Ovis aries: one gene and its partners. The protein of the gene in region 2 purifies or fractionates together with the protein of the main gene of each other region. This does not show direct contact. Links are inferred from orthologs where the notes say so. Each region holds a gene or a part of one and is shown on either strand. Other genes may lie near its edges.

Region 1 (10,023 bases), on a different chromosome or scaffold from region 2:
TCTGAGAAGATCCCACATGCTTCGGGGCAACTAAGCCCCAGCACCCTGAAGCCTGTGCTCCACAACAAGAGAAGTCCCAGATAGGAGAAGCCGGTGCACCATAACTAGAGAGTAGCCCCTGCTCACCGCAACTAGAGAAAGCCTGAGAGCAGCAACAAAGACCCAGCACAGTCAAAAATAAGTAAGTTAAATAAATGAATACAAAGGAAAGAAAAGGCAATGGTTTTTTCTGAGCACAAGGCCTGGCCTGTTGAACCCTCTGCCTGGCAATCTCTTCACTGATTCTTCCCATAACCAGCCACTGGACTCCTCGCTTCCCATTGGACTCAAGTATGGCCACCTCTGAGACAGGCCCTTCCTTGTCCACTGTATCCAAAGGAACAGACTCAGTTCCTTTTTCACAGTGCCTCTTCTTCTTGGCCTCAGGAATGCCCACAGATGCCACACACACATCTCTGTGTCCCAGCCTGGCCTGGCTCAGCCTCACTGTTTTGGGCTTAGGTCCTCACAATGCTCTTTCCCCAGGGACAGTACTGAGTCACATGTCAGTGTCATCTCTTCCAGGCCCCACCCATTCTCGTGGAAGAGTAAAAGGGAGCTGCCAGCCTGGCGTGGTCACCTGAGACAGTCTGATTTGAGTCTGTCTGCCTGGGCTGGGTCTGTCCTCCAGGGTGGCTGGGAGGTGGAGAGGCTGGACACCTGAAGGCCCTGGACCAGATTTTTCAAGGACACACATGCACAGGGGAATCTCCAAGCTTTTTTTTTTTTTTTTTAATTTCTTACAAAACCACGTCTCTGCCAAACAGGACACTGCAGGCCTTCCCCCAGGCACTGTGACCCAGGGGTGAGGACCCCATGGATGAGTGGCTGCCGACCCCAGAAGAACTGTCTGCCTCTCTGCACAAGGCCACTGTGAGGAAGGGGTCTGGCTGGAGGCTCTGTCCAGCCCATCCCCAGCTGCTGGGAGAGAAGGCAGACCCTGGGTCCCTGGTGCTCTTAGTGTCTGCAAGGGAAGGTGGCAGAAGAGGGTCTGAGAGGAGGAGAAAAGGCTGGGGTCGGGTATGGGGCAGGCCAGGGGGCAGGCCCATGGTATCTCACCAAGAATATGCGGTGCTGTCAAATCAACGAGAAGACAATGATGACCACCAGAATGAGGACAGTGATGGACAGACAGATGGCAATAAAGACTTTCTTCTGTGGGAGAGGAAGAGGGGTGGGGGGGTGGGTGTCAGGGAAACTCAGGAGTGGAGGGAGGGCCACCCAGGGGGAGGGGTGGCGGGGGGAAGGGCGGAGGCTCACCTTGCGCGCCTTCTTCTGGTTCTCCAGCGCCACCTTGACATGTTCCTGCCCACGTTCCACATAGTCGGCTGAGCTCAGAATGTTCTTCTCAATTCGGTTGATCATCTCCCCCTGCTCGGAAGAGGAGGCGGTTCAGGCAGGAAGGAATGACTGGAGGCGGAAGGCCCAGCAGCTCCTCTGCCCACCCCAACCAGAGGACTGAAGGACACTCCTGGCAGAGAACGGTGCACTAAGGAAGAGGTGGACAGGACCGCATCTGCCAGAAGTCCACACGCCTGGGGATGGCTTCCAGGCTCCCTCCTACCGTATGCTCCCTTCTGTCCTGCGCCCTCGCCCCATACAATTTCTACTCGCAGTGCTGGCTGGGAGCGGAGCACCTTGACTGGCTCACAGAGGGTGAACTTTTGTCCCCTCGCAAATCTGTCTGAAGTCCCTTGTTCTTTAGGCCTGTCTCCCAGCTGCCGGAAAGCCCTCCCTGTCGCTGCCTCCTCATGGTACCACCAGGCTTCAGATCCTGGACTCCTACAGAGTGAAATCTCTCCCTCAGGACTCCCAGCTGCAAAAGGGCACTGGGGTCAGCTCCCCCCAGATGGGGCTGGAAGCTCCCCTTATCATGAGATAAGGGCTGGGGGAAGAATACCACCTCCCACCCCATCCTTGTCTACATTTTAGGAGGCAGGCCCCTCTAGGGGGCAACTAAAGAGCTCTTAGGTGCGTAAGAATGGATTCTGTTGCTGGAGGAGCCAGGGTTGGGGCCAAACGTGGTGTGGGCTCCAGTTCAAGGGATGGGGTACAAGGTATAGAGCAGTAATCATCTGAGTAGCTAAGGATGAAATCTGGGAACACGGCTAAGGATGGAAGTAAGGGCCAGTCTGGAGGGTAACAAAAGCCCTGGTGAAAGGGGCTAAGTGTGGAAGCAGGCTGGCAGTCAAGACACGCTCTCACATCTGGGGACTGGGTCAAGCCCAGCCAGCGGCCTCAGGCACCCACCTGCATCTCCACTTCAGTGGCCAAAAAAGTGAAAATCTCATGAAGTTCACGGATACTGCGTTCCAGCTGCTGGATCTCGCTGTGTCGGGCCGAGATCTCATTTAGGGCCTGTCGAGTCACTTGTGTGTCCTTCAGGATCTGCAGAGTGGACAGGAGCGATGGGACAGGTCACAAGGAAATCAGCGGCACGTGTAGAAGTTCCTGTTCAGCTTCGGGGCAGCCCTCGGGCCTAGAACTGGGGCCCAGGCCTTAATGAGGGATGCCAGGCAGGCTAATATGTTCCATTCTGGGCCTCAGGATTCCCTCCATGAAAAAGGGCCAGGAGGGCTTCCCTGGTGGCTCAGTGGTAAAGAACCCGCCTGCTAATCCATGAGACACCAGTTCGATCCCTGATGGGAGAAGATCCCACCTGCTGCGGAGCAACTAATCCTGCACGCCACAACTACTGAGCCTGTGCTCTAGAGCCCAGAACCACAACTACTGAGCTCATGGGCTGTAGGGCCTGTGCTCTAAGAGAAGCCACTGCAAGGAGAAGCCCATGCACCACAACTGGAGAATAGCCCCTGCTCGCTGCAACTAGAGAAAGGCCTGCACAGCAACGAAGACCCAGCACAGCTGAAAATGAATAAATAAAATTTTTTTTTTTTAAAGGACTCAGAGAGGATGGGGGGCCCAGCAGAGGGAGCCTGGTGGCGGCCACTCACATTGGACACAAACACCTCGCTCTGCCCGCTGTCCAGCATCTGCTCCAGCTCCTCATCAGACACCATTCCAGCATTTGCTGTGAAGGAAAAGGCCAGGCTCAGAGCCGGTTGGGTCAGCTGACCCTGTGTGCCGGGCACCACAACTCACTGATCTTCAGCTGCCTCCGAATCCGCTCCACGTTCTTCTCCCGGTATTCAGACTGCATTAAGTTGCACTTGTTGATGAGCTCCACGAATTGCTGGGACAGGACCCCGTGCTAAGGAGGGAGAAGAGAAGCTGGGGACCCCTGGGAGGATCCCTGCCTGGTCTGGGCCTCAGCAGCCCCTTGGGTACAATGAGCAAAGAGCATGAGCTCAGAGGTGCCTATGGCCTTGACCTCCTTGAAAGGCTCCCCTGGTCTCTCAAAGTAAAAGCCAAAGCCCTTCCCAGGGACTACAGGGCCCTACAGGACCCGCCCCTTCCCACATTCCCTCTCTCATTTTACGTCCCCACGTCCCCACGCTGTCTCCCTCACTCCTTCCCTCCAATCACAGTGGGCTCCTGACTCCTCCCTGGTCAGAACACAGCCCCACGTCAGGCCTCTGCAGTTGCCATTTCTTCAGCCCAGAATGCGCAAGCCCCACAGAAGCCTGGAAGTCTTTGTTCCAATGTCACCTTCAGAAGTTTTCTCCACCTTGTTGGAACCTGCCTTCTCCCGCTGTTCTCAATCCCTCTTCTCTTTTCCCTTAATACTTCTATTTCTACAATAATTGACTAATTTATTATGGTGACTCTCCCCACTGGAATGAAATCTCCATGAGGATAGAGATCATTTGTTGACAGCTGTTTCCTAAATAGCTAGAAAAGGGTCTGGCATACAGTAGGCCCTCAAAGAATATTAGTGGAATGCTTGCTGAACACCAGCCTCCCTGCTTAGACTAAAGGTGTGCCAGGATTTTGCATTTCCCAGATTTTGCAGGCCCACCTGGGCACTCAGCCTCTCACACAATGACTACCACAAGCCCCCCACCCCCTGTAAATGCCTTCCCTGCTTGTCCATTTTCCTGATGCCTAAAATCTGCTCATTCCTTGGAGTTCCTTTCTCCAGGACACATCTGCTGTCCTGGGTTCAGTTGCACCCTTTCAAGATGCCCAAATTGTGGGGGGGCAGTTCTTGAGGCACTAGCCTACTGTGTTCCCCCCTTTGTTTGGCAAAGTAATAAAACTACTCTTTCCTTCTCTTCCATTAAAAAAAAAATCCCCAAATTGTTTAATCTTCAATCTGGGGTCTTTGCTGATTTCTGGGCCCACCTACTCCAACTCTGACCTCCAAGAACTCCAAACCATGCCTCTCTGGGCACCCAGAGGACACTGCTCAGACCATTTCAAATCTCCTTATTAAGATGATGATTCAGTGACCTTCCCCATACACACACACCAGGGAAGTTCCTCTTCCTGACTTGAATTCTGTCCTTGGGGCAGAGGATGTCCTCATCACATGGGTAGGAAACCACCCAGTCACTTGACTGCACCCTTTTTTTCCCTGGGCAGAGCCATTAACTACCAAGTCCTACCTGAGTAATGTCTTTGTCATCTATGCAAGCTTAACTCCCCATCTTGGCTTCTAGAAAGTATATCTCCTACAACCAAGCCCAGATCATGTCTGGGGTCTCAGCAACTTCTCACTGAATGGAGGAGAAGAAGGCAAGGTGTTATAACAGATTGGAAGTCAGGAAACCCGGGTTCTTGACCTTGGGGTAAATCCTTTTTTATCTCTGAGCCTCAGTTTCCTCATTTGGAAAATCATCAGGTTGGATTTAATGATCTCTAAGAGCCCTGCCTTCTTACATCTGCCATCTAATGATCTATTGAACACTTGCTGAAATGTCCTACTTCTGGGAATAATGAACCCACCTGGGTTTTTCTCATTCTTGTGTTGACGGAGTTATAATTCTCATCAGCTTCCTCCTTCTGGGGCTCTATGGCTGTGGAAAGACACAGAAGTATTGGTAGAGGAGGGGGTTTGACCTCTGGCTTCTGAAATTCATTTGGGGACTGGGACCCAGCCATGCAGCCATACAATAGAGAGAGATACAATATCTCCACAGAGCTTTTTTTTTGAAATAAAATTCATCATAAATGACTACTCTTGAGCCTCTGACAGGCAAAAGTATATTTTTCTTTGCAATAAATACATCAGAGAATTCCCACATGTTTGGAGAAGCTTCCTAACAAAACCCACATCTTCCCACCCAAAGAATACACACTGGGCAGCAAGAATTGTAGGAGTACAGATGATCCTTGCACAACTGTGGGTCCACTTATACCTGAATTTTTAGAAAATAAATGCATACTACAGTACTACACAATCCATGACTGCATGAATCCACCCTTGCAGAACCTGGGATGTGGACGGCAGACTATACAGTTATATGCAGATAACGACCTGAAGGTGGAGGTAGCAACGCTAACCTCTGCCTTGGACAAAGATCAAATGGACATGGTTTCATTATAAATAAGGGAACTTGAGAGGCAGGCATATGCTGTGGAAAGAACTTTGGACCGAAAGCCAGGAGATGGAGATTCTAGACGTTGGCCTGCTGTGTGACCTGGATATATATCACTGGCCTCTCTGGACCACACACTGCCCAGAAATACCAGGAGTTGGGCAGGATCAGAGGAAAGTATCTGGCTAAAGTCCTAGGAGCTCACCCTTCAGCTGCGCGCGGATGTCCCTCCCTAGCTGTTTGATCTCGTCACGCAGGTTCTGCAGGTCCTGCTTCATGCCTAAACAAGAGAAAGCCATGATGCCCAAATAGCAACCTCTACCTCAACAAATCTCCCTGGCCACCACCTGTGTGGAACTACAACCCCCACAAGCCTCCAGCTGAGCATGCGTTCTGCACCCGGGGTTTCACTCACTCTCCTCGGGAAGGGGCGTGGCCAGGATGGTGACCTGCTGCTTCTCCAACTCTCGGACTTTATTCTCTAGCTTGACGATAGTCTGCCGAATTGTCCGAACCTGGGGACGATGACCGAGAGGGCTGAGGGAGATGTGGGCGCTGCTCCAGGCTGCTCTGCTCCTCGGGCCCTCCAGGCCCCTCGTGAATCCAGGCCGAGACTCCAGCCTCTTACCTTCTGGAAGAACTCATCGTCCGGGCTCCCCAGCCGTGCAGTACCCGGGTGTACCACCAGCGCGACTCGCTCCTTGTCTTCATCGTCCGAGCTGTCATCCCCCTGCCAGGGCCGGGGTCACTGGCATCACTTCCTTGCTACTGCTCTCCCCCAGTAGAACTCACGGGCTTCCGGGACTTTCCTTCCTAGCCCACAGTCATCCCTCCCGGCCCCGAGGACCAGGAGTCCTGCATTCCAGTAGACCCCATCCCGTCCACCCGTCCCCAACCCTGCTGCGCCAAATTCTCACCTGCCTCAGCTCGTGGGTCCTGTCCCGCATGGCGGCCCGAGATCCCTCTCGCCGGCGCCGGAGCCCGGCGGGCCTCAAGATTCTAAGTTTGGAACTCCCGTACCCAACTCACACTCTGACACTCCCCTCCGCCCTCACCCTGCAGGCCCCAAACCCTCCCCCAAGAGTCGCTAGAGGCTCTGTCCCTGGCACCATTCACAGTTTCAAAGGGAAGGAGCCGACCTCGGGGACCCCCAAGATTCCACAGGTTGGAATTCCCTTTTCTTTCCCCCCGCCCTCTCCTGTAGCCTCAGCCCCGCCCCCTCTGGAAAGACTGGAGCATGCGCACCGGATCGCGTCCCTTCCCCACCCCAGGGAAAGGCCGAGGTCGGAAGCTTCAGCGCCCCGAACGGAAGCGAAATTGCCAGGACGTGAGAACCCGCCCCCTTTGCCGGAACTATCGCATCTTCCAGCGGAAATCTAGTTGCCAAAAGGGGTGGGAATGCGTCATTGGTACGTGATCTGTGAGGCCCTCTCAATTCGCATCACCCCATAGTGCAAACCCCCCCGCGCGCGTCATGTGACCGGCCTGGTCCCAACCTCTCAGACCACGGAACGTGACGCTTCGACTGTCACATGTCTCTGCCCTGTCAACTCCATCTCTGGAACACCCATCTCCCCACGACGTCCTCGGCACCCCGCGCGCGAGTTACCTCTCTTCAGAACCCCCGCGAGGCGGGGAGGGGGCGCTGACTACCCCCAGAGACAGTGGGTGGTAGGACCCAGGCTGAATCCGGCTTCCTTTCTTTTGGGTCCGCGAGTGTGGGCAGACTGAGGACTTAGAATTTGGAGCTGTCAACATCATGAGACCTTGAAATTCAGAAAAGAATAAAATACAGCGTCAGAGACTTGCGAGATTTTGTAGGCAGAGCATCTGGGGGTGGGAAGTGACCTCACCCGAGGCGGAACTCTCTTCTCCCGCATACTCCTGGCACAGTTTCTGACAGGTGGGCGGCTGGCTGGCGCCCGGCTTGAACACTGCAGTCCCGCTGCACTCACCACCTTTGAGCAGGGCATTTCAGGGCAGCTCGGGCTTAGAAAAAAGTCTGTTACATTGAGCAGCATGTCACTTAGACAACCCCCTCCCCAGACCCCCACCTTGCACTGGGGGTCTACCCTCTGGAACCCACAAAAATATTACATATTATCGTGGCCTGTGAGTTACTAAAGTGAGGGCATGATTGTGGACAGAGGAGCCTGGAGGGTTACAGTCCATGGGGTCACAAAAGAGTCGGACACGACTAAGTGACTAACACACACAAATTGTAGCCCACCAGGCTCCTCTGCCCATACAATTTTCCAGGCAAGAATACCAGAGCGGGTTGCCATTTCCTCCTCCAGGGGATCTTCCCAACCCAAGGATCGAACCAGCATCTCTTGTGTCTTCTTCACTGGCAGACAGATTCTTTACCACTGAACCAACTAGGAACCCCAGCACATGTTAGGCCCTCAGTAAATATTTGTTGATAGAGTCTTAGCCTCTTATATAACTGAAGATGAAGCTTATGATTCCCTGGTCTTCTCTTTTATGCTTCAGGCTTTTGGTGACACTTCCCTAACCCTAACCCTGTAGGCATTTATTCATTCAGTGGATATTTATTGTATGGGCCAGACACTGTTTTAGGGCCAGAGATATAACAGGGCAGACAAGAATGGCTTGCCCTTTTGGAACCCACCTTCTATAGAAGGATGCCCCAAAGTCACTCAGTGAGTCTCAGAATAGCTGAGAGGAATATTAGTTCTCCTGGATCCCAGGATGTCAATAGCCCGGGTGTCTCTGCCAGGGATTCCATGCTGCTACTCCTCCAGGGTCTTTCTTCCTCTTTTCATCTCCTGAGCCCCACCGTGCACCAGATCCTTGCCAACTCCTGCCCATCTCTCATGTCTTCACTTGGATCTAACATACCATGTATTTTGCTAATTTGTGTTATCTATTGTCTGCCTCCACCCCTCCTCTCCATCCTACTAGAATGTAAGCTCCAAAAGGACAGGGATTTTCACCTTAATTATTCACTACCATGTCCCCAGCACCTGCAACACTGCCTGGCACATAGTAGCTGATTAATAAATATTCATGAAGGAACGAATTTTTTTTTAACCACATCATGCAGCTTGAGGTATCTTAGTTCCTCAACCAGGAACCATGGAACCCAGATCCTTGGCAGTGAAGCATGGAGTCCTGACCAGTGGACTGCCAGAGAATTTCCCAATTTCTTTTGTTTTTTTAATTAATTTATTTGACTGCATTGGGTATTAGTTGCAGCACTCGAGATCTTCTGTCATGGAGGATCTTCTGTTGTGGTGCATGGACTCTCTAGTTGTAGCATTTGGGCTTCTCTTCTGGTTGTTTGGAGGGCTCCAGAGTTTGCGGGCTCAGGAGTTGCCCCACGCGGGCTTCGTTGCCCCACAGCATGTGGGTTCTTAAGTCCCCAATCAGGGCTCGAACCTGTGTCCCCTGCATGGCAGGGTAGATTCTTAACCACTCGACCACCAGGGAAGTCTGCCCAATTTCTTTTTAATTGACGTTTACTTAGCATTTACTGTGTGCCAGGCACCGATATAAGTACTTAATAAAAATTTACTCATTTCATCCTTATGTACATTCTGTGAGATTGGTACTATATTACTGTCCTCATTTTACAGAGGAGGAGGCTAAGACACAGAGGCAGTAAGTAACTTGCCCAAAGTTACACACTAGCAAATATGAGAGCCAGGATTTGAAACCAGAGAGGAAGCTCCAGACTCTGTGCTCTTAACCAGTACACTATGATCCAAGAAAAACACCAGCCAGGAGTGGCTCCCTGTGTTGCACCCACCCTTGGGGGACTTGCCACCACCTATTAATGCTCTACTTAGGATCATCTGGTGGGGAGGTGGGGCCCAACGGCAAGACGAGTCTCTTCCCTTTTCCTGTCATAGGGTCTCCCTTCCACATCTGTTGGGTGGGAACAGACTGCTCGGGAGGTTGTCGGTCCTCCTCTCATTCCCTATTTGCTGTCTTCCCAAGAGCCAAGGGTTTTCCTGGTGGCTCAGACAGTAAAGAATCTGCCTGCAATGCAGGAGACCTGGGTTCAATCCCTGGATTGGGAAGATCCCCTGGAGAAGGATATGGCTACCCAGTTCAGTGTTCTTGCTGGGACTATTCCATGGACAGAGGAGCCTGGCGGGCTACAGTCCATAGGGTTGCAAAAAAGTTGGACATGACTAGAAGACTAAGCACACATACACACCGAAAACCAAGATATCCACGCATGGGTCACATAGGGCTTCTGTGTGCCCTCAAATGTCTCTGAGGCTAGTTTTGTGCCGAAAACCCAAGGGCTACAGCGATGAAGCCCCCACCACTCTCTCCTCATGATGTGTCTTCAGCCTGACCTTAATCACTCCCTAGAGCGCCACCTGGGAACCTCTTGTCTCTCATGGCTTTAATCGACATCCATATTTGGCTCCCAAATCCATATCTCCAGCCCCCACTTTTCTCCAAAGCTCTAGACCTCTGAATCCACTTGCCTTCTGGACATCCCCTCCTGGAGTTCCATGACTGTCTTAAACTCACCATGTTCCAAACACCACACATCGTCTCCCCT
Region 2 (10,008 bases):
TCTCTCTCTCTCTCTCTCTCTCATCCTCACACACATTTCTGTTGGTTGTGATGGAGAATGCATCTCTTCTGAGGCCCTATGTCTGGCTTCTCTGCAGATTCCGACCGGCCCTCCCTTCTGAGTCAACACGTCCTGGGGTACAGTGGCTGCCGCGGGGTCCCCTGCTCCCCAGCACCCGCAGGCTGTGAGCCCCTGTGGGTCCTGCAGGTGTTGACAACAGGCGCTGTGTTGACTGTTGCCTTCTCTTCCATCTGATGGTGTGTTTCTCGGCAGGTACCTCGAGCGTAGCTCGGGCCTGGAGTGCGACATTTGATGAGCTGATTGGGAAGCCCATTGGGGAGTTCTCGCGGAAGCATATGGCCCTGCACGCACCCGGGGTGCTGGCCGAGAACCCGGACATATTCGCCGTGATCATCATTCTCATCCTCACAGGTACGGTCACACGTCGGGTGCATCGGGAGGGGGCTGGGAGTCTGGAGTGAGGCTCAGGCTCCCTCCTTTTCTCTTCCTCCCATCCCCCCGTTTTCTTGTCTTCTTTAATTGATGCAGACATCTGTTGTGTTTTTTGTTTTTTTTTTTTGTCAAAATGGCTTCTCAGAGATTCGCAGAGGGTTGGCCTATTGAATAGGTCAAGTTATGCGCTGTTTAATTAAAAGAGACTCTCAGGTGTTTGCTTTAAGTGTTTGTGAAGTAGGATTTTGTTAGGGCTTCGGGCTTTGTGTACAGGTGACCCAGGAATACAAGTTCTTCTGACTCAGCGGATGACCATTTAGAAAGGAGAGTTGGCCTTCGTCAGCCAGGACGACATGGAGGAACCAGGCCCGATGCTCGCTGCACCTTGGGGTTGGAGACAGCTGAGGTGGTTTGCACCCAACCAGCCAGCAAAACACCTCCTTATATCATGAAGTTTCCCCACAAAGTTGCTGGTACAGAATTTTAAAATTGCAGACAGGGTTTGAACACAGCTGATGGTATCTTCTTCTTAGTGATGTTGACCTGAGTCTCTGCCACCCAGTTGGGAGTTTTGTTAATGTACACATTAAGCTTAAATGCAGATAAATTTTCTTTTGAGGTTAGAAGATTTTGGATGGGTTTTAAAAGCATCGGTGCCTTGTTTTACACACCTAATTACACACGTAATTGAGATCGTTCTGCACAGGGCCAGTCTCAGCGGTATGTCTGGTCCAGCTAGCAGGAACACAGATCAGAAATTAAGTATTCACGAGTGAGATTTTCATAAGGACAGGAGGGAGGGAGGCTGAAGAACAAACACCGCGGAGTGTGAAGTGTTCCCTGAATTGCTCCACGCCCTTCTAATGCCTGTATTTCAGAAATCAGTCTATGACGTAGAGCATCTTTTACGTTAGAACGCGTAAGAGACACGCAGTCAGATCGGTGGCCCCGTGCCACTGGGCGCCTCCCTGACTCTTTGCTCCCCTGGCCGAGGGTGCACCACAGAAGTGTGTCCTGCATCCCCCAAGGCGGACCTGCAGCTTGCGGAGCGTCACCTGTGCTTTTTCACCCAGTATTTTTTTTATCTCGAGTTTTCGAGGTAGAGCTGGTCTGGCTCAGACGTGCTACGTGCACTGAGTCCCAAGAAGGGGACTCTGTGGCAGGGCCCCCAGGTGGTTGTCGCTGCGGACACTGCTAACACCCCACAGAGCATCTGAATGATTCCATGTCTAGAGAACTCTTTTTTTCTCTCAAGACACTGAACAGAGTGTCTCCTTGGAGGAAATGAACTCCTACCCACTGGGTGGTTCTCAGTGATGGAGATTCAGGGAGAGCCTCCCTTCATCCCAGGGAGGGCTTTGCTATTGAGGGGAGCCATTGGCTCAGACGTCCCCAGCCCTGCTGTCCCTGGGGTGCTCCTGGTTGTTGTCTCAATTCCACAAGGTGGCTGGAAGTCCAGCCCTGATGGCTTTGTTCAACACCCCGTGGACTTGGGTTGTTTTGATCCCTGCCTCTAGGATGAGAGTCACTGCAGCCTCGTTCCTCTTTGGAGGTTTAACGCTGCTCAGATTCTTCTAACGTCACCTTCTCGTCCCCAACCCCCACCCCAGAGGGACTTGCTGGCCCGAGGTCAGCACTGAGGCCGTTTCTGTCTATGCCCTTTTGCAGGACTTTTAACTCTGGGTGTGAAAGAGTCAGCCATGGTCAACAAAATATTCACGTGTGTCAACGTTCTGGTGCTGGGCTTCATCATGGTGTCGGGGTTTGTGAAAGGATCAATTAAAAACTGGCAGCTCACGGAGGAGGACTTCCAGAACACGTCGGGTCACCTCTGCCTGAACAAGTGGGTGTCCCTCTGACTCTGGGCGCCTGGGCGTGGTGCGGCTGGGGCGGACCTTGGCTACCACAACACAGTCCAGAACAGTCTCTGTTAAAAAATGTAATTTGAGCTAGGATATTTTGTCACTACTGAACTGTTTTTTTTTTGCAGTCAGATAGCTGAGGGTGTCTCCTTTGTCTGAAATTTGTGTTTTCTTGCCTTGTATTTGACTGTCGGTTGTACGACATAGGAAGATGCTGGGGGAATAGCGGCATCTCTGGATGCTGATTCCAACCCTGCCTCGGTGAGGACCGAGGTCAGGCTCCCTCAGTTGTCCCTATTTCCCTGTATCCTTTTTGATGATGGAACTCTGAATTTCCTTTTCGGAAAGGAAGATTTTCCTCTGCGGTTCCACACGGATGCTGCTTTCTTTTGAAATGCCTTCCTATCTGATCACCTTGAACAAACAGGTCGGTAGAACTTTTTATCTCAGGTGTTCTTCAGAGTAGTTTCTCAGAACAACTGAGGTTATCACAGCGTGATGATGACAACTCCTTTCACTCTCACTCCACGTGGGCCGCTTCAGCCCTGAGATGCCATGGCCTCAGTGTCCTTCCATATTGGGCTCAGGACGCCCAGGGCTGGAAGCAGGTGACCGGCCAGCTCTCCACCCTGTGCCTTTGCAGGCCTCTGGGCACGCCCTTACCAACAAGCTCACCTTGTTTCGGGAAACAAAAGCAAAACGTTGGAGTGGATCTTTCTGACCTTTTTTTTTGTTGTCAGATTTTTTGATACATGTTAGGGTCTTAGGATGGAGAATGGGGAGTTCTAATTTTATTTACATTTCTGTTTTAATTGTGGCTAAAGGTTAAACTGATGCTTTGAAGAGATCATCCTAAAATGCAGTGGCTTTACAAGGATATCTCAGCTCCAGGAATGATCAGTTGGGGGTGGCTGGCCAGCATGGACACGTGCAGGCTTTCAGGGGCCCGATTGCCCGACTCGCTGACCCATTATCCCCAAGGACACAGTGTGGTCAGAGCTGGGTTGTGGGTGGGCACAGGCATGACCCAGCTCTCCCACCAGGGGCCAGAGTCCGAGGCCCGTGCGCTCAGATCCGGAAGACGTGTTCCTCCTGCCCACATCCCCCTGGCCAGAATCCAGTAGGGGGCCACGTTCAGCTGCAAGAGAGGCCGGAAAGCCAAGTGGTCACATGTTGGGTTGACCTCTGATTAAGGCCTGGTGCCCGGCGTGTCCTCCAATGGCCTGCTCCGTGGGCAGGCACTTATCAGCAGCTGGTTCACTAACTGGAGCGCAGGCAGGAAACGAACCCGTGAAACTAGCTCTAACACCCTGTGGTCAACAGTTCAAACAAAAAGAGCCTGCCTTTTTGGGACGAAACGTGACTACAGAGAATTGAGAGCTTTTAAATTTAAGTCACTCCCCAGCATTCCTGGGTCTTGTTCGTGCCAAATTTATCAGTGCCCGATAATTCATGGCGAAGTAGGGCCAATTTGAAATATGTTTTAGAGTAACCCAGTCGACTCAGGAAGCTTCACGGGCCCCCTCACCAGTCACTGTGAGCCGGTGAAGAATTGAGCGGAGAGGGCGCCTCCTGTCTCCTGGTTGTCTGTCCATATTTAGCCTTTCTACTGGTTTTTTTTTTTTTTTTTTTTTATTTATTTTATTTGGAGGCTAATTACTTTACAGTACTGTAGTCTTTTTTGCCATACACTGACATGAATCAGCCACGGGTGTGTGTGTTTCTCCCATCCATCCTGGATCCACCTCCTTCCCCATGCCACCCCTCAGGGTTGTCCCAGTTTGGTGCATGACACAGGGCATTCATGCTGTTTTGAAGAGACTGTTTCTGCCAGCTGATGGGATTTCCTGTCGCTGGCCATCCCCGTGCTCTGCATCCCTGCGGTGATGACCCGCGCTGGCCTCTGGCCAGAGAGGTGTTTGTTTCCTGGCCCCTTGGCCACCAGTGGGGTCCTGGAGTTACGTCTGCCCACAGCCCCGGGGCCGCTGTCCTGCCGGACGGGGGACGCTGCAGGACTGGGCCTAGCTGCTCGGGGTGGCCGTCAGGGTGGCTCCTCTTCAGGCCCACGAAGCAGGGGCCTGTGACCCTGACGGAGGCTCTCTCTTTCAGTGACACAGAGGAAGGGAAACCCGGTGTCGGTGGGTTCATGCCCTTCGGGTTCTCCGGTGTCCTGTCGGGGGCAGCCACCTGCTTCTATGCCTTCGTGGGCTTTGACTGCATCGCCACCACAGGTAGGTCCACCGCCCTCGGGACACCTGGGCTCGCCTGGCCAGGCGTCTGATTCCCCTCCCCCGGGTGTGTGCATGCCTGCCGCTGCCCATTTGCTCCTGAGTGCCCGAGTGTGGGTTTGCACCTTCCTGCCAATCCCCCTTTCATTGCTCCCCAAGTGGCCTGCCCGACAGGAACTTGCCTGCCTGTCCCGTGTGGGCCCGGGGTGATGGCACCGTGGCTGCAGCTGGCGGCAGACCCCATGTGCGCTCCGGGGGAGTGTGGCTACCTAGTCCGACTTTGTCCGGGCACTCGAGGGGGCCGGGCTCCAGCCTCCAGTGTGTTCTCTTTTCCACGATGACTCTCAGCGAAAAGGCTGAGAGCACCTTCCCTGGGCCCTTGGGTATTGTGTCTGGTCTGAGGGCCTCTCCCCTGGGTTCCCCGGAGCCTGGAAGGGCCCTGGCCCTGCAGGGCCATGAGCTGCAGGGTGGTCTCAAGCCCTCCGGCTGAACTCCTCCCGCCTTGCAGGGGAGGAGGTGAAGAACCCACAGAAGGCCATCCCCGTGGGCATCGTCGCGTCCCTGCTCATCTGCTTCATCGCCTATTTCGGGGTGTCGGCCGCCCTCACCCTCATGATGCCTTACTTCTGCCTGGACAAGGACAGCCCCCTGCCAGACGCCTTCAAGCACGTGGGCTGGGAGGGAGCCAAGTATGCGGTGGCCGTTGGCTCCCTCTGCGCCCTGTCTACCAGGTGAGGGGCAGAGACGCTCGGGAAGGCGGGTGTGCCGTGACCACTCCTCTCTCCCCTTGAAGTAGAGCCCAACCCAGCCCCGATCGTGGGACTTCTCCCCTTGGGCTGCTCTCGATCAATCCCTGGGGCTGTCTTTGCGTTAGGGACGTTCATCTCAATAGCCTGAGGCCCACATTTCATCATTGTCGGCTCAGCAAGGGCTGCGTCTCTTGTCCCTGACTGTGGCCACTGGCCAGACCAGGCCACCTCTGTGAGCACTGCCTCTGGCCCTTATTTTGGCCATAAAGCAGAGGCTACCATTGAAAAGGAGCAAGTGCCGCAAACGCCTTTTAATGAGAGTCACTTTGCTCTCATGCTCCCTGCTAGCCTGTACACACAGGAAACCGCTGTGGACTTCAGGGAGATCTTCATGAAGGCAGTGACGTTTTTCTTTTTGATTCAGCTGGAGATAATCGCGGGAATAAACGCAGAACATCTCTTCCATAGCACTGTGTCTAGATGCCACGCTGGTTTACGCTAGGCGTTTCCCACTCACACACACGTGCAGACTTGCTGCAAGCGCTCCCCCGGGCCCGGCGTGTCGCGCCGCGGGCCTCCCAGGTTGGAGCCGGCTCCCTCTCCTGGGTGTGAACACCTGTTGCGATGCCTTTATTCTCCCAAGCTCTCTTACGGACGCAGTTCGCTTTTCCTCCCATCTAGTCTTTTAGGTTCCATGTTTCCCATGCCTCGAGTCATCTATGCCATGGCTGAAGACGGGCTGCTGTTTAAATTTTTGGCCAAAATCAATGACAGGACCAAAACACCGATAATCGCCACCTTAACCTCGGGTGCCATTGCCGGTAAGAACTGGAATCTCCTATCCAGCATTTTAACGGCTGAGTTATTACTCCCTAAGGCAATGTCTTGGCCTGTGCCCGTCTGAGAGAAGTTGCGACTGGTCTTTCTAACGTTTGGTTTTTACCCTTGGAGTCTGGTTTGTCGCAAGGTAACTGAGTGCCTTTTGACAAAAGGCAAATGCTAGTTTCTCAGAGGATGTAATGGAATTCTCAAACAGGTCGCATTTTCCAGTGATTACCGTCTCACTGGACTGAGCTCGGCATGTACACTGTCCCTTCAGAGCTGTGTCTTGCCCCTTCCCCAGGTGTCCCTGAGTAGACCTTGGTGGGGTAAAGTCCTTCACAGTATATCCCCTGTCTTGTCGGTGCTGGAAATTCACCGTCCGTGTGTCTTAGCTCGTGAATTCTCTAGGAAGCGAGAATCCCTTACGATCAGCGTTTTATAAAACATGCCACCTCTTCCCCAGGGGACACTGAGGGTGTGTCTGGGGTAGCCCTCCGCCCTGAGCCTATGAACAACAAATGGCAGGAGAGAGGAGGTGGAGCTGACGGATCGCTATCAGGTCCCTCGCCAAGAGGACAGAAGGGAGCGGCGGGCTGGGGAACCCTTGGGCCTCTGTGTGCACCTTGAAAGGCAGGGCAGCCCTGGAAAGAGACCCTTGGTTTTGTTTCCTCTTTGAGTCGCGTTTCACCGCCCAGAGGCAGGTGCACAGAGGAGAGGCGGAGGCTCAGAAGGGGGAAGTGAGGATGCACGCCCAGGGAGGACAGCAGTGGTTCTCGGTTCCTGGTTTGTCTTGGGGCCAGGCTGGCTGGGCCCTCCCAGCCCATGTGTGGAGCAGGAGGTCTCTGTGGTGAATGAGGACACGTGCCAGCCACAGCTGGATCACAGGGACTTGTCAGATAGCCACAGGGGAGGCGTTTGACCCTCTTGATGAGTGAATTGTTAACAGCATTCACACCCTTAGCAAAATGTGCTTACTTTTATGGGTCAATGTTGTTTAACGAAAGGAAGCCAGTTTTTCTTATTTCACACGTGTGCTGTATGAGTCTGCATTCTCGAGCATGATCGCTGTGGGCAGGTTAAGGGACACCGTGTGTCAGTATGTGACCCATGTGTTTAAGGGATTAAGGAACTGGAAATAGTGAGTGTTTTTTCTTTTTTTCCTCCAATATTCACATGTAATGTGATCGTACTGAAGACTGGCCTTAATTTCCTTCCTGTGCTGATTAAGGGAGATGAAACTACAGTCTTTAAAGCCACTGTAAAGTTCTTGTATCACCAGACCAAGGGTTTGCTTTTTCTTTATTTGGTCAGAGTGATATACAAGTCTTTAGTTTTCTAAGAATCACCTCCCATGGGCGAAATTTGGCTCAGGTTTCTCGGAGTGAGGACGTAAGCATTTGATACACACGCAGTGGGTTTTCTGATTATCCAGTAGGCCCTCGCTGCTCTTTAATTCTGTTAGTCAACCTCAATTTGAATTTGTTTTAGTTGCCATGGTTTGTGTGGGTTTGAGAAGTATTTGTGGAAAAGTAATGGCTTTGTGTTTATATTTCAACTTGTGTTGATTGCATGTGTTTTGAAAGTATCCCAAAGTAGATCCAGCCAAGTTATTTTTTAAGTGGGAAACTTGACACATATATCCCCATAAACAGACGTGCATACACTTATAAAAATCTAGGAACGATTTTCAAAAAAGACTGCATGTTTTGCTTTGCGTTAAGTGGGGTTGTGGTGAAGGGACTGGTATTGTTTGGGAATACCATCACTTTCCATGCCCATATTCTGGGTTAGGAGCCCCTGTCAGCCATCCCGGACTTGCCCTCACGCAGCTCCTCATCATTGTTGCCTCCTGATGCAGGCCTCAGGTGGTATTCTTGGGAAGACCAAAGTTCAGCGGCGTACACCTTGCACCCAGTGACTGGCGTGCTCATGAGAGCCATTGAATGGTGGATGGGTAGATGATGGGTAGGTGGTGGATGGGTGGTGGATGGGTAGATGTGCGTGTCTCTCTGTGAGTCTGCATGGTGTAGAGGAAGGCAGACTGCCCCAGAGCCGTAAGAACCTAGCTCAGTGCCTGGCTTTTCCACTTACTAGCTGTGTGCCCTTACTTAGGTAAGTCTCTCAACATGTCTGGACTTGGCTTTCTCCATCTGTAGTGCAGGGAAGGCTGGCAGAGTTGCCATGGGGGTCACCAGGGTCATGTTGATAAAAGCTCTCTCTCTGTATAAATGTTGTTTATTGTTACTGTCTGTTGGGAGCTGTGTATGTGGTTTAATCCGGAACTTTCCTTCCTTTTAAGCGGTGCTGCCACGTTTCTTCATGGAAAGGGCTGGCAGGGGGAAGGGGAGGCCCTCCCAGGTGCCCTGGGTCGCGGGCGGGTGGCGGCTCTGGCTGCCACGGTGTTCGGGCCCACACCCATCCTGATGTTCGTCTCCTCCTCCCCAGCGGTGATGGCCTTCCTCTTCGACCTGAAGGACCTGGTGGACCTCATGTCCATCGGCACTCTCCTGGCTTACTCTCTGGTGGCTGCCTGCGTGTTGGTCTTACGGTAGGTGTGGCTTTCTGGGTTCCAGGACAGAAGAGCAGACGTCCTTTGCCAGCTTCCTGCTACCAGTTCGTGTTAACGGTTTATACGCTGTAAACTTGAAGCTGTGGATCATTCCTTTGGGAACGGCTTGGGAGAGGGTGGGACCTGGTGCTTGAAAGTCTAGTTACAGAGAATAGCCTTGAAAGGAGTCCGGGGTGGCTCGACCGCTCTCTCTCTCTCTCTCACATGCTCTGATTTTTCTGGCTGGATGTCCGGAAGACAGAGACAGGTTATCAACTTGATGGCTGGGGGCTGCATCTTTGGATCGGAATTTTTGAAGGCTGAGGGTAACGATCTCAGTTTGGACCGGAGACTAGGGCCTGGCCCTAGTGGGCACTGGGAGAACTGGGGACACTGATGCTTCCATGGAGGTGAGAGGGCCGTTACAGGGCCTGGAGGGCTGGGGGTGATGTGCAGGAAGACTCTCCAGGTTCTGCTTTGAGTCTCGTCCGGACAGGGCCAGCCCCGTGGAGGGCCGTGACAGCAGATCCGGGCCGGGGCTCAGTGTCCTGGGGCTCCTGCCCGCCACAGCGCCCCTCTCTCCACGCTCACCCTGCTCCAATTTTCCTTTGCTCTGGGAGACAGGGCTCTGCTTCCTTGCTCCCAGGGGTGACCCCAGGTAGCATAGACATCCAGTGTGGTCTCCTGGCGAGAGGCCCCCCCTACTTTGCAGGGCTTTAATCTTGCCAAGCCATGGATTCCATCCCTAACTTGCTCTCCAGCTACCGTCCCTGGGCTGAGCCTCAGTAGTGGCTCTGGAGAATCCGCTAGAGCTAGTGTTTCCGACCACATATTTCTTCCCAAGAGCTCAGTGCTACAATCTTCTCCGAGTCTCCCCCAGCCTTCTTATTAAGTGAATCAGTGAAAAAAAAAATGGTGAAGTATCTTCATACTCACTCTTAGATTCTATGCAGAAGAATGCATAAAGCACTGCATGTTTTGAAGCTGGTGGAGGAGATTGGAGCGCTGTTCCTTTTGGCTGGGAAGATAAGGAGCCTCATTTAGAATGAATGCTTCACTTGCAGGTGGCTTGTGTCTTGGAAATCACGCCATAGGCTTGGTCCTTCACCCAGCTTTAGAGAGTTATTTATCCCAAGGCACTTAGAGTTTTTAAATAAATTGATCCAATGAAATCATGCAAATAGAATTTCTCAAATCCATCAGCCTGCAGACACGTTTCTCTGGCTCTCTGCATGGATTAGGATCCTAATATGATTGCTTTCTGTTTCTATCTGTATTTTAGCTTCCTACAACTGTAGTTTTGTTGTGAGTGGCCTCATATCTTAAGGGCCAGTGCTGCTTTTCAG
Region 3 (10,108 bases), on a different chromosome or scaffold from region 2:
CAGTATTCCTGCCTGGAGAATTCCACGGCCAGAGGAGCCTGGTGGGCTATAGTCCACGCGGTCACAAAGAGTGGGACATGACTGAGCAACTTCACTTTCACTTGGGTGGCTATATAGTTTCTGTTGGAACTACTCAACTCAGCTACTGTAGCACAAAATCAGTCACAGTAATAAATGAATGTATGTCTGTGTTCCAATAAAACTTCACTTACAAAAACAAGGATTGCTGGATTTGGCCCACCAGCTAACTAAACAAGTTGATAAAACCAAATGGCATATCTCATTGTAAAAAAACTTTAACTACTGCTGGCATACTCCTCCAAAATGCTAATCATCCCACTGGCCTTACATTAAGTCAACATCCTAATTTGATACCTTATACAAACATCCTTTACCTTATGTAAGTAATAGGGGACAGTATATATCATAATGTATCAAAATAGATCAAGTGTACCAGTCTAGCCAGAGGGACCTAAGACCCTTGCTCCTATACTAATACTTTGAATAGTTTCTTTACTTGTAAAGTGATCTGCTTGATCTATTTCACAGGTTAATTTCTATTTCTCCAAAGATGGCCACACCAAAATATATACATCATCCCAAATGTGACTGGCAGGGGCTTGTGACTATTCTGACAAACATGGTGTCAAGAAGTGATAATTATGTGATTTCTGAAGGTAGGCCATAAAAAAGGAAGCCATCTCTGCTTGATTAGGGCTTGCAGGTGCTGCGTCTCTGTTTCTCTAAAATACTCACCTTTTAGCCACCATGCTGTAAGATAGCCTAAACTATAGAGAGAATGTGGAGAGGCCCATGCAGAGAACAGCTGAGGCCTCCAGCTGACAAAGAGCACCAACTACTAGATGTGTGAGTAAAAAGCCTTCATACTTTACTCTTTAGTCTCAGGCTGAGGTCTGAGACACGGTGGAACACAGTCACGCTGTCGTGCCTGTCTGAATTGCTAACCCAAAGAATCTGGGTTAAAATGAACAGGTGATCTGTTTTGTAGCCATGGTAACTAAAACAGGCAATAAAAGCGGAATCATTTTGAAACAGTGAACTGCTAAACAAATGTAAGAAACTGTTACCAAAGCATGTTTTACAAAACAAGCATCTCTAATGAAAACTCATGGGATCGTAATCCTTGGTTTTATTCTGGCATTGACTGAGCACCTACTGACAGGTAGAGTGAACATGCGAAACGTACTTGAGTCTGATGACATCCTGATTCAAATACCAACTCAGAGCAACCTTACTCCTGAACAGGATTAATTACCACTTACTTCACTTCCCAGAGTTTGGCTTCCCTGGCAGCTCAGAGGTTAAAGTGCCTGCCTGCAATGCGGGAGATGTGGGTTCGATTCCTGGGTCGGGAAGATCCCCTGGAGAAGGAAATGGCAACCCACTCCAGTATTCTTGCCTGAAGAATCCCATGGATGGAGGAGCCCGGTGGGCTACAATCTACAGGGTTGCAAAGAGTCGGATACGACTCAGCGACTTCACTTCACTGCACAGAGTTTGGAGGATTAAAGGAGAAAAAGTACTGAAAGCATGTAGTATCCTGTCCAGTACACAGTGAGTACTTAATAAATGTTAGAATTATTCCTTCCACTGTGAAAACAAAAACACTCTATATTTAAATCATTATAATAGACATGGGTTAGAGGTAAGTGTAGGGGAGATAGAAGGTATCGTTAATTTCATGAATGAATCTTTTTTTCTACCATAATTCATTTTTTCCAGACTTGAGGCTTTGACTCAAATAAGAACATCAGAACATATTTTAAAGCACTTTATGACAAAAGGCTAAATAATAGAGGAGAGTTCAACTACAAATTACACCCACCCATCTTTTTATTACATAAAACTAACTGAATAGCATTTAAACGTACACAGTAAGGTCAAATATTACATTTTATTTTTTGTTTTACTGTTATTATTACTATTTTTGGCTCTGCCACAGTGCTTATGGAATCTTAGTTCTCCAACCAAGGACTGAACAGCGCCCTTGGCAGTGAAAGCACGGAGGCCTGGATGACCAGGGAATTCCCCTAAATTTTATAATAATTAGCCACTCTTGTAAGAAAGACATGGATTTTAAGGACAGGGTGGGATAACCCTGACTGGGTAACTACTTAACAGTTTACAACTTTCTCCAATTTTAAGTAGGATTGACAGGCTGAGAGACTATGCGTTATTCATTTATTTTTCTGGTGTTATTGAGTTCTTTAAAAACATGAGGGTTGTTGGTGGAGAAGTTGTAATAACTATAATGCAACATTACCCCTTTGGGCAAAAGTCTGGTATTGCTATACATTTTACTACACTTACACATTCACATGATTAGTTGTCTCTTTACTCAGAAAACTCACAGGGTTCTCACATAGTAATTCTGAAAAGACTCAAATCTGAGATAAAAGTAAATACATGGGTTTACAGACTAGCCCCAAGAAAACAAGTATCAGAAACATTATGACAAGCCATAATGACAAGCTCTTACAAGGCACCAGATACTTTGTAAAGTGTTGCTAAACACTTCACATCATTATTTCATTTAATCTTATCCTCCTATGAAAGAGGAGGTATTATCCTTACCTTATAAAAGAAAAGAAAGTAAAGTCCCTCAGTCGTGTCTGACTCTTTGCGACTCCATGGACAGTAGCCTGCACCAGGCTCCTCCATCCATGGGATTTTCTAGGCAAGAGTACTGGAGTGGGTTGCTATTTTCTTCTCCAGGCAATCTTCCCAACCCATGACCCAGGGATTGAACCCAGGTTTCCCACATTGTACACAGACGCGAAAGGCACCAGCGAAGGTATAAATGAGACCAAAAGAAATCAACAACAGAAACTGCTCAACAGACACATAGAATCATGAGAAATCATTATTTTAAGCCACTATAGGGGGTGCTTACACAGCCACAGATAATCAAACAGTTAAAGAGCTAATGAGATCGGAAGAAGTCAACTTGAAATGTTACTCTATCTTTTCATGGTGGTGAATACAAATTATCTAAGACTGACAAAAAATTCTTGAGTACAAAGTTTAGATAGGGGTCTTCCAATAATTTCTAAGGCACCAAATGACTGAATAATGAAGTATTATAAAGTTAATGAGAAGAATCCACCTTTTATGTAAGGCTGTAAAAGTAAACAGGCAAGATCTTTAAACTCCTTAATGAAAGAAAAGCCCAGGTGTTTGCGGAGGCCTTCCGTATAGACCCTCAATCCTCCAAACCTTGAATAAATTAATCAAACCAGATTTCTAGGAGAATACTCAGCAGACTCAATACAGAGAACACTTGAAAAATTAGGCTGATAAAAGACACTTGTAAAAACTCCAAGTATGATGCCTATTAAAAAGTTTTATTATTCACAGTTGAACGAACTAAAAACTTATAATAAGTCGTTTGTGAGTGAATAGGAAAATAAGTCGAAACTAGCCTCTTCCCATTCAAATATAAAGAAGGTATCTCTTCTGTTAATGGATAAAAACGAAAAAAAAAAAAAACTTGGTTAGACAACGATCGATTTTAAGCGAGATGAAAGCTATCATTTTAGAAAATCAATTTCAAGAATAAATTATGTTTTAGTATGGCGTAGTTCCTTTTATTGCAACAGAGTTGTTTAAAAACCACAAATGATACTGAGGTGTACCCAGCGGCCTGTGAGTGCCAGAGAACAGAGGTAAAAGACTAAGAGTGACTTACAGGGACCACAAACAAATGACAAAAAGAAGTAAAAAGGAAGTGTACCCTGGACCAAAGACTTGAGGGCTTTCCTCTAAGACTTGAAAGGAAGCTTTGTCATAAAGACGACAGTTCCTTGCATTTCTGCTAATTTAAAAACAATCTTCATTTCTTTGCAAAACTTAGTGCCTTTCCCGCCCCTCACCCCTCGCTTTTACGGTGTGTCTTACAGACTGTATTCAAGAAAGTCTCAGGTCAGAAGAAGGAACTGCTAGAAACCCAGGGTGGGGAAAGATAATCTTCAAACGCGGAATAAAGCCACGTCGCACGCCAGCAGCAGCAACCGCTGGGGGAGCCCACCCGTTTCAGCTGTGTTTCCCAAAAGCGACCGAATATTCCGTCTTCCTTAGCGCAATCCCTGTCGCTCGCCCTGGGGCTGCAGCAGAGGTGACCTCCACTCACCGTTTGAAGCACGGTCGCCAGCAGCAGTCGCAGCCCAAACGCCGGGCCAAGCCATCCATCCGGCCGGCCCGCCATCTCCGCCACCTTCCGTAGGTCTCCGGCTGCCGAGAAGACCCCTCTGCTAGGGGCGTCTACTCCAGTGCCTGATCCAAAACAGGCAGCTAAAGGCCGCTGCCATCAAGCCTCTTATTCTGAGGAGACGGGCATTAACTACGGGCATATGTAAGCTTAAAGGTGAGCAAAAACTTTACACTTGATGTAAATATGAAGTCACTGGGTCCTTTCGCTAACTCACATCAGGCATCTCCCTAAACTCCTCAAATCTGTGCTTCCCGGGCTCCTTCTTTTCATTCACGACATTTCCTTAAGCAGTCAAGAAGCCCCGCCTTCGCCAGTTTCGGCCTGCCTCCTTCTCCAAGTTTACCCAATCGAGTGCCGATTTGGTTGACACCTACGGCAAAGGAAACCAACCGTGACACGCACCAAGAGCGAAGCGCTGGAGTTCTTCGGCCCAATAAGCTCAACCGAAAGGGAGTAGAGGGCGGAGCCTCTGGTTGCCGAGCAGCGTACGTGGAGGCGTGCGCGTGGAGGCGGAGAGGGATGGGTAAGGGGCGGGGCCGAGGGCGGCGCAGCCGCAGCCGCAGCGCTGGCGGAGAAGCGCGCGTCCGCGAGCGAAGGAGGGAGGGAAGGAAGGAAGAGAAGGAGGCGGTTAGGCAGGCGGGCGCGGGGGTCGGGGACTGAGGCAGTAAAAGGAGGCGAGAGCCCGGCAGCTGCTTCGCTCTGTGTTTGCTGCACGGGCTTTTGGAGGGAGTCGGCCGTGGAGTCGGTCGAGGAGAAGCGGGCACCGGCGGTGTTGCTGCTGGCGCCTGGGGGCGGGGGACTGGGGACGCGAGAAGGGGGGTCGCTGCAGTGGTTCTCTCGCTGTCGCGCTCTTCTTGCCTTTCTCCCGGCTCCGTGGGCTCCTCCCGGGGTCTCCCTCGCCCCCGGGGCCCCGATCCCCGCCCCCCGCGGTATGTCTTGATCCCGAGCAGCGGGTTTCATGGGGCTCCTCAGGATTATGATGCCGCCCAAGTTGCAGCTGCTGGCGGTGGTGGCCTTCGCGGTGGCGATGCTCTTCTTGGAGAACCAGATCCAGAAACTGGAGGAGTCCCGGTCGAAGCTAGGTGAGGAGCCGGGTCACTCCGGGCTGAGTGGTGTGTGGAAGGGGCCAGGCTGGGGAGGCACTGCAAGCCAAGCAAGTGGGCGTTTATCTAACCTGATATCTGGCTTGGAGGCTGGAGGCTGAAAGAGAACACAAGCCGAATTCATTTGGTGTGAATTAAGCTTGGGTGGTATGCTGGGCTCACGAGGTCAAGGGGCAGAGGTTGCAAGGTTGGACTTTCCCGAGCCAAAGGGATACCCTGAACTAGGCATTTCACGGGGAGAAAGCAAGAGAATATCGAATTCGTTGGGGAGTCAGTACCGACAGTTGGAGGAGACCGTAACGGTCAGGCTTGCCTGTTCTCTTGGAAGTCAAACGGAAAGCTCCAGCAGTGTCAGGCAGGGGGTTTTCTAATTTGAGATGTGGGCACCTGGATACTGAATCTTTTGGGAATGGGGAGGTTCGCGAAGGGACAGATGGGCTGAAATGGAGGGGAGATACTGGAATGATGGTGTGTAAAAGAAATACATTGTAGTGAGTTGCACTCGTGCTGGGGGCAGCAAGGGACCGCGCAACTGACGAGAGAAATAGACTGTCCAGGTAGGACAGAAAAGCAAATAAAAAGCTCGCAAGAGGTTCTGAAACGAGGTAACCAGGCATTTAAATTCTTTTTTAGTGGCGCTAAACTGGTATTTTGAGCTTAAGAAAGGAGTTGTATGTGCATGTTGCTTCGCGGCAATGTTGGTGTAGTGAATTTAGAAGGGGAGGAAACGTTGAGGGGGAATTGCTATAATGAAATTTAAAGTTAACGAGAGGAAGAGTGCAGCAAGTTTACCGTATGGCTAAGTACCTTAAAGAGTTAAAAGATGTTACTTTAATTGGGGGGTGATCTGAAGTACAAAATGTTGGAGTGTGCTGTTGTGAAAGACCAGACGAATGCACAGACAAGTACTTTCAGAGCAGTAAGGAACTGTGGCATTTGGGAAGAGTGAATGGGGAGGGAGTGTTAAAAGAATGTCAGCAATACATTTTGATTTTAAAATGTACATGGCGCTTAAAAATCAGCCCAAGAGGCTGTAATTTGGATATGGAAAATAATGTTTAGTAAGTGTATTTTATACACTTTAACTGCCGCATCATTTAAAATAAGTTTTGAAATGCAAAGGATAAAATAGAAGCTTTATAATTTAGACTCAGAAGTAACGTATGCTGCTGTGATGATTAATGTTTTGGAAAAATCTATCAGAAAATAAGTGTAATATTACAAATAGTAGCTAGCCATTTGCAATTTTGATACTTTGAAAAAAGCACTGGAGACAATTTTAAAGTGCAGTTTATCAAAGAACATCAAATAAATTAACAAGTGCAAATAAATTTGAAGATAGGGACAATTCCACTCTTCAACTCTAAGGTAAAACTTGCCCTGTATAATTTTGAACAGATATCAAATTTATTTTCTATGATTTTATTAATATGTATAGTATACGATGGAAAAATATTCACTTTAAATTTTCAAGGTTGGCCAGTATACTCTTTTTGTTTGTACCCGATTAGCAGCATTCATGGTCATATTCTAGTCTGGTTAATGATCCAGCTTTACAGAAAGAAAAGACTCCTCCTCAAGAAAGTTGAAAGTTATATTAAATTAAAATTTATATTTATTCTTTGTTGTATTGCTCTTTGAATTTCTTATACATATTATGGTGGCTGGGATAACTTCAAATTTTAATTTTCCTTCCTTGTCTAACATTTTTTCCCATAATAATTTAAATTGTTTTCTGTAGGCACAACCTGAATGATTTTTAAAATGTAGGAAGCCAGAGGTAGTGGCTCGGTAGATAACATGTTTCTTTAAGACTTTTTACAAGAAAGAAACTCTTACATTTTGTTAGAAATAGTAAATATGGAATAAATGAAATAATTCTTGAAAAGGAGTCTCGTACAAAAAGCTGCTGGTGCTGCTAAGTCTCTTCAGTCGTGTCCAACTCTGTGTGACCCCATAGACGGCAGCCGAGTAGGCTCCTCTGTCCCTGGGATTCTCCAGGCAAGAATACTGGAGTGGGTTGCCATTTCCTTCTCCAATGTACAAAAAGCTAGAAGGAGCTAATAATAGAGATGTGGAATTGAGTGAGTGATAGTTGCTAAGTCATATTTGACTCTTTGAGACCCCGTGGACTGTAAACCTGCCACACTCTTCTGTCCATGGAATGCTCCAAGCAAGAGTACTGGAGTGGTTGCCATCTTCTTTTCCAGATGTAAAATTATGACAAATAAAATGTATAGCTTCACATCAGCAGTCTTTTGACTTAAAAAAAGTCTTATGAAACGGCCTGTATTAAAGCAGATGTCAGTAATCTTCCTTAGGAAAGGAACATAGAAGGAGACATATTTTGACAATCAGACTCTGTACTAGACCCTTTCATATTTGCTATTCTTATTTGATCTTCCAAGAACACCATAAAAAAGCCATTTTTACAGATGTGGGAACAAGTTCAAAAGTTATATAAGTTGACTACATACCTAATAAGTGGCAAAGTCAGTATTGGAACCCAGGTATGTCTGATTTCAAATCAAGTTCCCCTTTAATTATACCAGGCTGCATGGGACTTTATATTGACATTACACTAAGATGTAGTGGTTTGAATAGAATTTTTAAACTAGCACCAATGTTTAATTGCATTTATTGCTAAGAATGAATATCATTCTTAGAAAATTCAATTTCTGACACAAAGGAATTAGGTTAGTGTAATGTCTGTTGCTTGTTTATACCCATGTAATGAACATAATTGTATTATCTAATGAAAGGACTGAAATAGATAGCTTACTTTTGCTACGGGGGGAAAAAAAAGATTGTCGTTTTCTGTACGTGTAAAATCACAAACAATAAAAGCATTTTTATTTTGCCATCAGAAAAACTTACACAGTTTTCACTTTTCAGAAACTTTAGTCGTGTCATCTGTCACACAGAATTTTGACTTAAAGTGTTGTCAAATTTATTACATTTTGCATTTATGGCTTAAAAAAACCCTTAAACATCATTAAGTATATCAATAGGAATTCCTAAAAACCAGTGTCTCATAATAGAGTTATTTTTTTTTCCAATGAATATTAAATGACAGTATACGTAATACTGGCTTTGCATCTTGCTTTTTTCATTTAATGTCACAGAACATCTTTCCAGGTCAAAAAATATAAATTTGACTTACTCATTCTAATAGCTGTATAACATTCCACAGTATGCATGAGTCATAAATTCTTAAGCCATTATGTCAATAATGAACACTCAGTTTATCCCCCTTAAACGCTTTTTTTTAAAACTGTTTTATTTCTTGGTATTATAAAAGTGTTACAAGAAACATGCTTATATTAGTTTATTTAATTCTTTATTTGTTGGTACTATTTTCAGTAGGATAAATTCTAATAAGGGATTACTGAGACAAAAGATATATATATATATATTGTAGTTTAACAGATTTTAAAATCTGTTACTTCCCTGAAAATTTATTTCCCAAGGGTTATAATAATCTGTACTGTCAGCATACACACAAGTGCAGGATATTGTCAGCTTTTAATTTTTGCTAGCTTTTAATTTTTTTCTAAAGCTGTGAAATGGTATGTTGTTGTATCAATTTATGTTTCCTTGACTTCTAATTAAGTTGAACATAATTTACTGGTTCATTTTCATGTCTGTTGGGTAGTATTTCATCTTACCAATTTTAGGGTTTGAAAAGGATGTTAGGTGTAGTAATCATTTATCTGTCGTGTCTTGCATCTATTTTTCTCCAGGTCTGTCATTTGTCCCTTGACTTTATGGTGTATGGAAGTTAAAAATTTTATGCAGTCAAATCTCTCAGTTTAGGCAAGTAGGTGCCTTGCATTGCTTGAGGAGTCTTCCCCCAACCAAGATTATGTTATTATTCTCTATATTTTGTTAGTGTTCTACAGCTTATATTTTTATGTTTAGCTCTTTAAAGCATCATATGTTTATTGTAATTTCTCTCAGTGAATGGCCACTTATGGCAAATATTATATTAATAATTCATCTTTTTTTCCCTCCTTTCTATGTTACAGTTCTTGTTTTAGTCACATATTAAGTTTTCATATTTCTTGGATAAATTTTGGACTCCATTATTTTCCACTAATCAGAGATTCTTTTGGTCTTAGGGACTCATATATAGGCTTCAAGGCATCTATGAATTCCCTGAAATTATATACATATCTTTTATCAGATTTGCAAAGGAGTACACAATCCCCTTAATGGTAAGAATCACTGAATTGCAGTAAATGGTTTATATTTAATGGAGTGAGTGTGTTTTTTGTTTTAATATTAACTTATTACAACCTGCAACTCGTGAGTTAAATTTAGGATGCAAGCATATTAATATTAATGTGGGTGTTATATTACAAACTTATTAATGTGGGTATTACATTGAGAAAAGTATTAAAATCTATACAAACTTAATTTTTCTAATGAGGTATAGAAAATAACATGGAGTCAAAATGAAAATTTGCTTAGGTTACTGCTTAGTTACTTAGCTGTTAGAACTCTGGTTGTCAGAATTTGTTGCTTTTTCTCAGTAGTTATTTCTGAATGTCAAGAGCACACTACTGTTAATTTTGACTGATGGAACAGTCAATGAAATTTTTGTTATATAAATGTCAGAATTATGTGGTTGATAACTTTATTTTTTATAGGACCTAAGCATTTAAAATAATATTTTTTGTTCATGTGCTTGTAAGACCACTAAATAAATGAATGCTTTAGGACCTAATGTTTTCAATGAAGACAGTAACTCAGAATGGATTATGTAGCTGTC

The links.
Region 1: the proteins of SLC7A1 (region 2) and STX4 purify together in Homo sapiens (co-immunoprecipitation; 3 studies listed by BioGRID and IntAct, counting the BioPlex papers as one, with this or other methods). This does not show direct contact. The link is inferred for Ovis aries from reciprocal best matches to the Homo sapiens genes SLC7A1 and STX4.
Region 3: the proteins of SLC7A1 (region 2) and HS2ST1 purify together in Homo sapiens (co-immunoprecipitation; 3 studies listed by BioGRID and IntAct, counting the BioPlex papers as one, with this or other methods). This does not show direct contact. The link is inferred for Ovis aries from reciprocal best matches to the Homo sapiens genes SLC7A1 and HS2ST1.

The regions. Positions count from the first base shown.
Region 1 is NC_056077.1:27,671,357-27,681,379, reverse strand, and holds STX4 (syntaxin-4), read right to left. Parts: upstream 6,713-10,023; 5' UTR 6,428-6,712; coding exon 6,398-6,427; intron 6,211-6,397; coding exon 6,109-6,210; intron 5,996-6,108; coding exon 5,896-5,995; intron 5,761-5,895; coding exon 5,686-5,760; intron 5,184-5,685; exon of another isoform or gene 4,959-5,183; coding exon 4,888-4,958; exon of another isoform or gene 3,251-4,887; coding exon 3,142-3,250; exon of another isoform or gene 3,071-3,141; coding exon 2,994-3,070; exon of another isoform or gene 2,428-2,993; coding exon 2,290-2,427; exon of another isoform or gene 1,411-2,289; coding exon 1,117-1,410; 3' UTR 750-1,116; downstream 1-749. UniProt on the Homo sapiens protein: Plasma membrane t-SNARE that mediates docking of transport vesicles. Necessary for the translocation of SLC2A4 from intracellular vesicles to the plasma membrane.
Region 2 is NC_056063.1:31,272,632-31,282,639, forward strand, and holds part of SLC7A1 (high affinity cationic amino acid transporter 1), read left to right. Parts: intron 1-273; coding exon 274-432; intron 433-2,121; coding exon 2,122-2,296; intron 2,297-4,424; coding exon 4,425-4,546; intron 4,547-5,051; coding exon 5,052-5,274; intron 5,275-5,973; coding exon 5,974-6,113; intron 6,114-8,559; coding exon 8,560-8,662; intron 8,663-10,008. UniProt on the Homo sapiens protein: High-affinity, low capacity permease involved in the transport of the cationic amino acids (arginine, lysine and ornithine) in non-hepatic tissues.
Region 3 is NC_056054.1:64,004,200-64,014,307, forward strand, and holds the start of HS2ST1 (heparan sulfate 2-O-sulfotransferase 1), read left to right. Parts: upstream 1-4,801; 5' UTR 4,802-5,189; coding exon 5,190-5,313; intron 5,314-9,455; exon of another isoform or gene 9,456-9,551; intron 9,552-10,108. UniProt on the Homo sapiens protein: Catalyzes the transfer of a sulfo group from 3'-phospho-5'-adenylyl sulfate (PAPS) to the 2-OH position of iduronic acid (IdoA) or glucuronic acid (GlcA) within the heparan sulfate (HS) chain and participates in HS biosynthesis.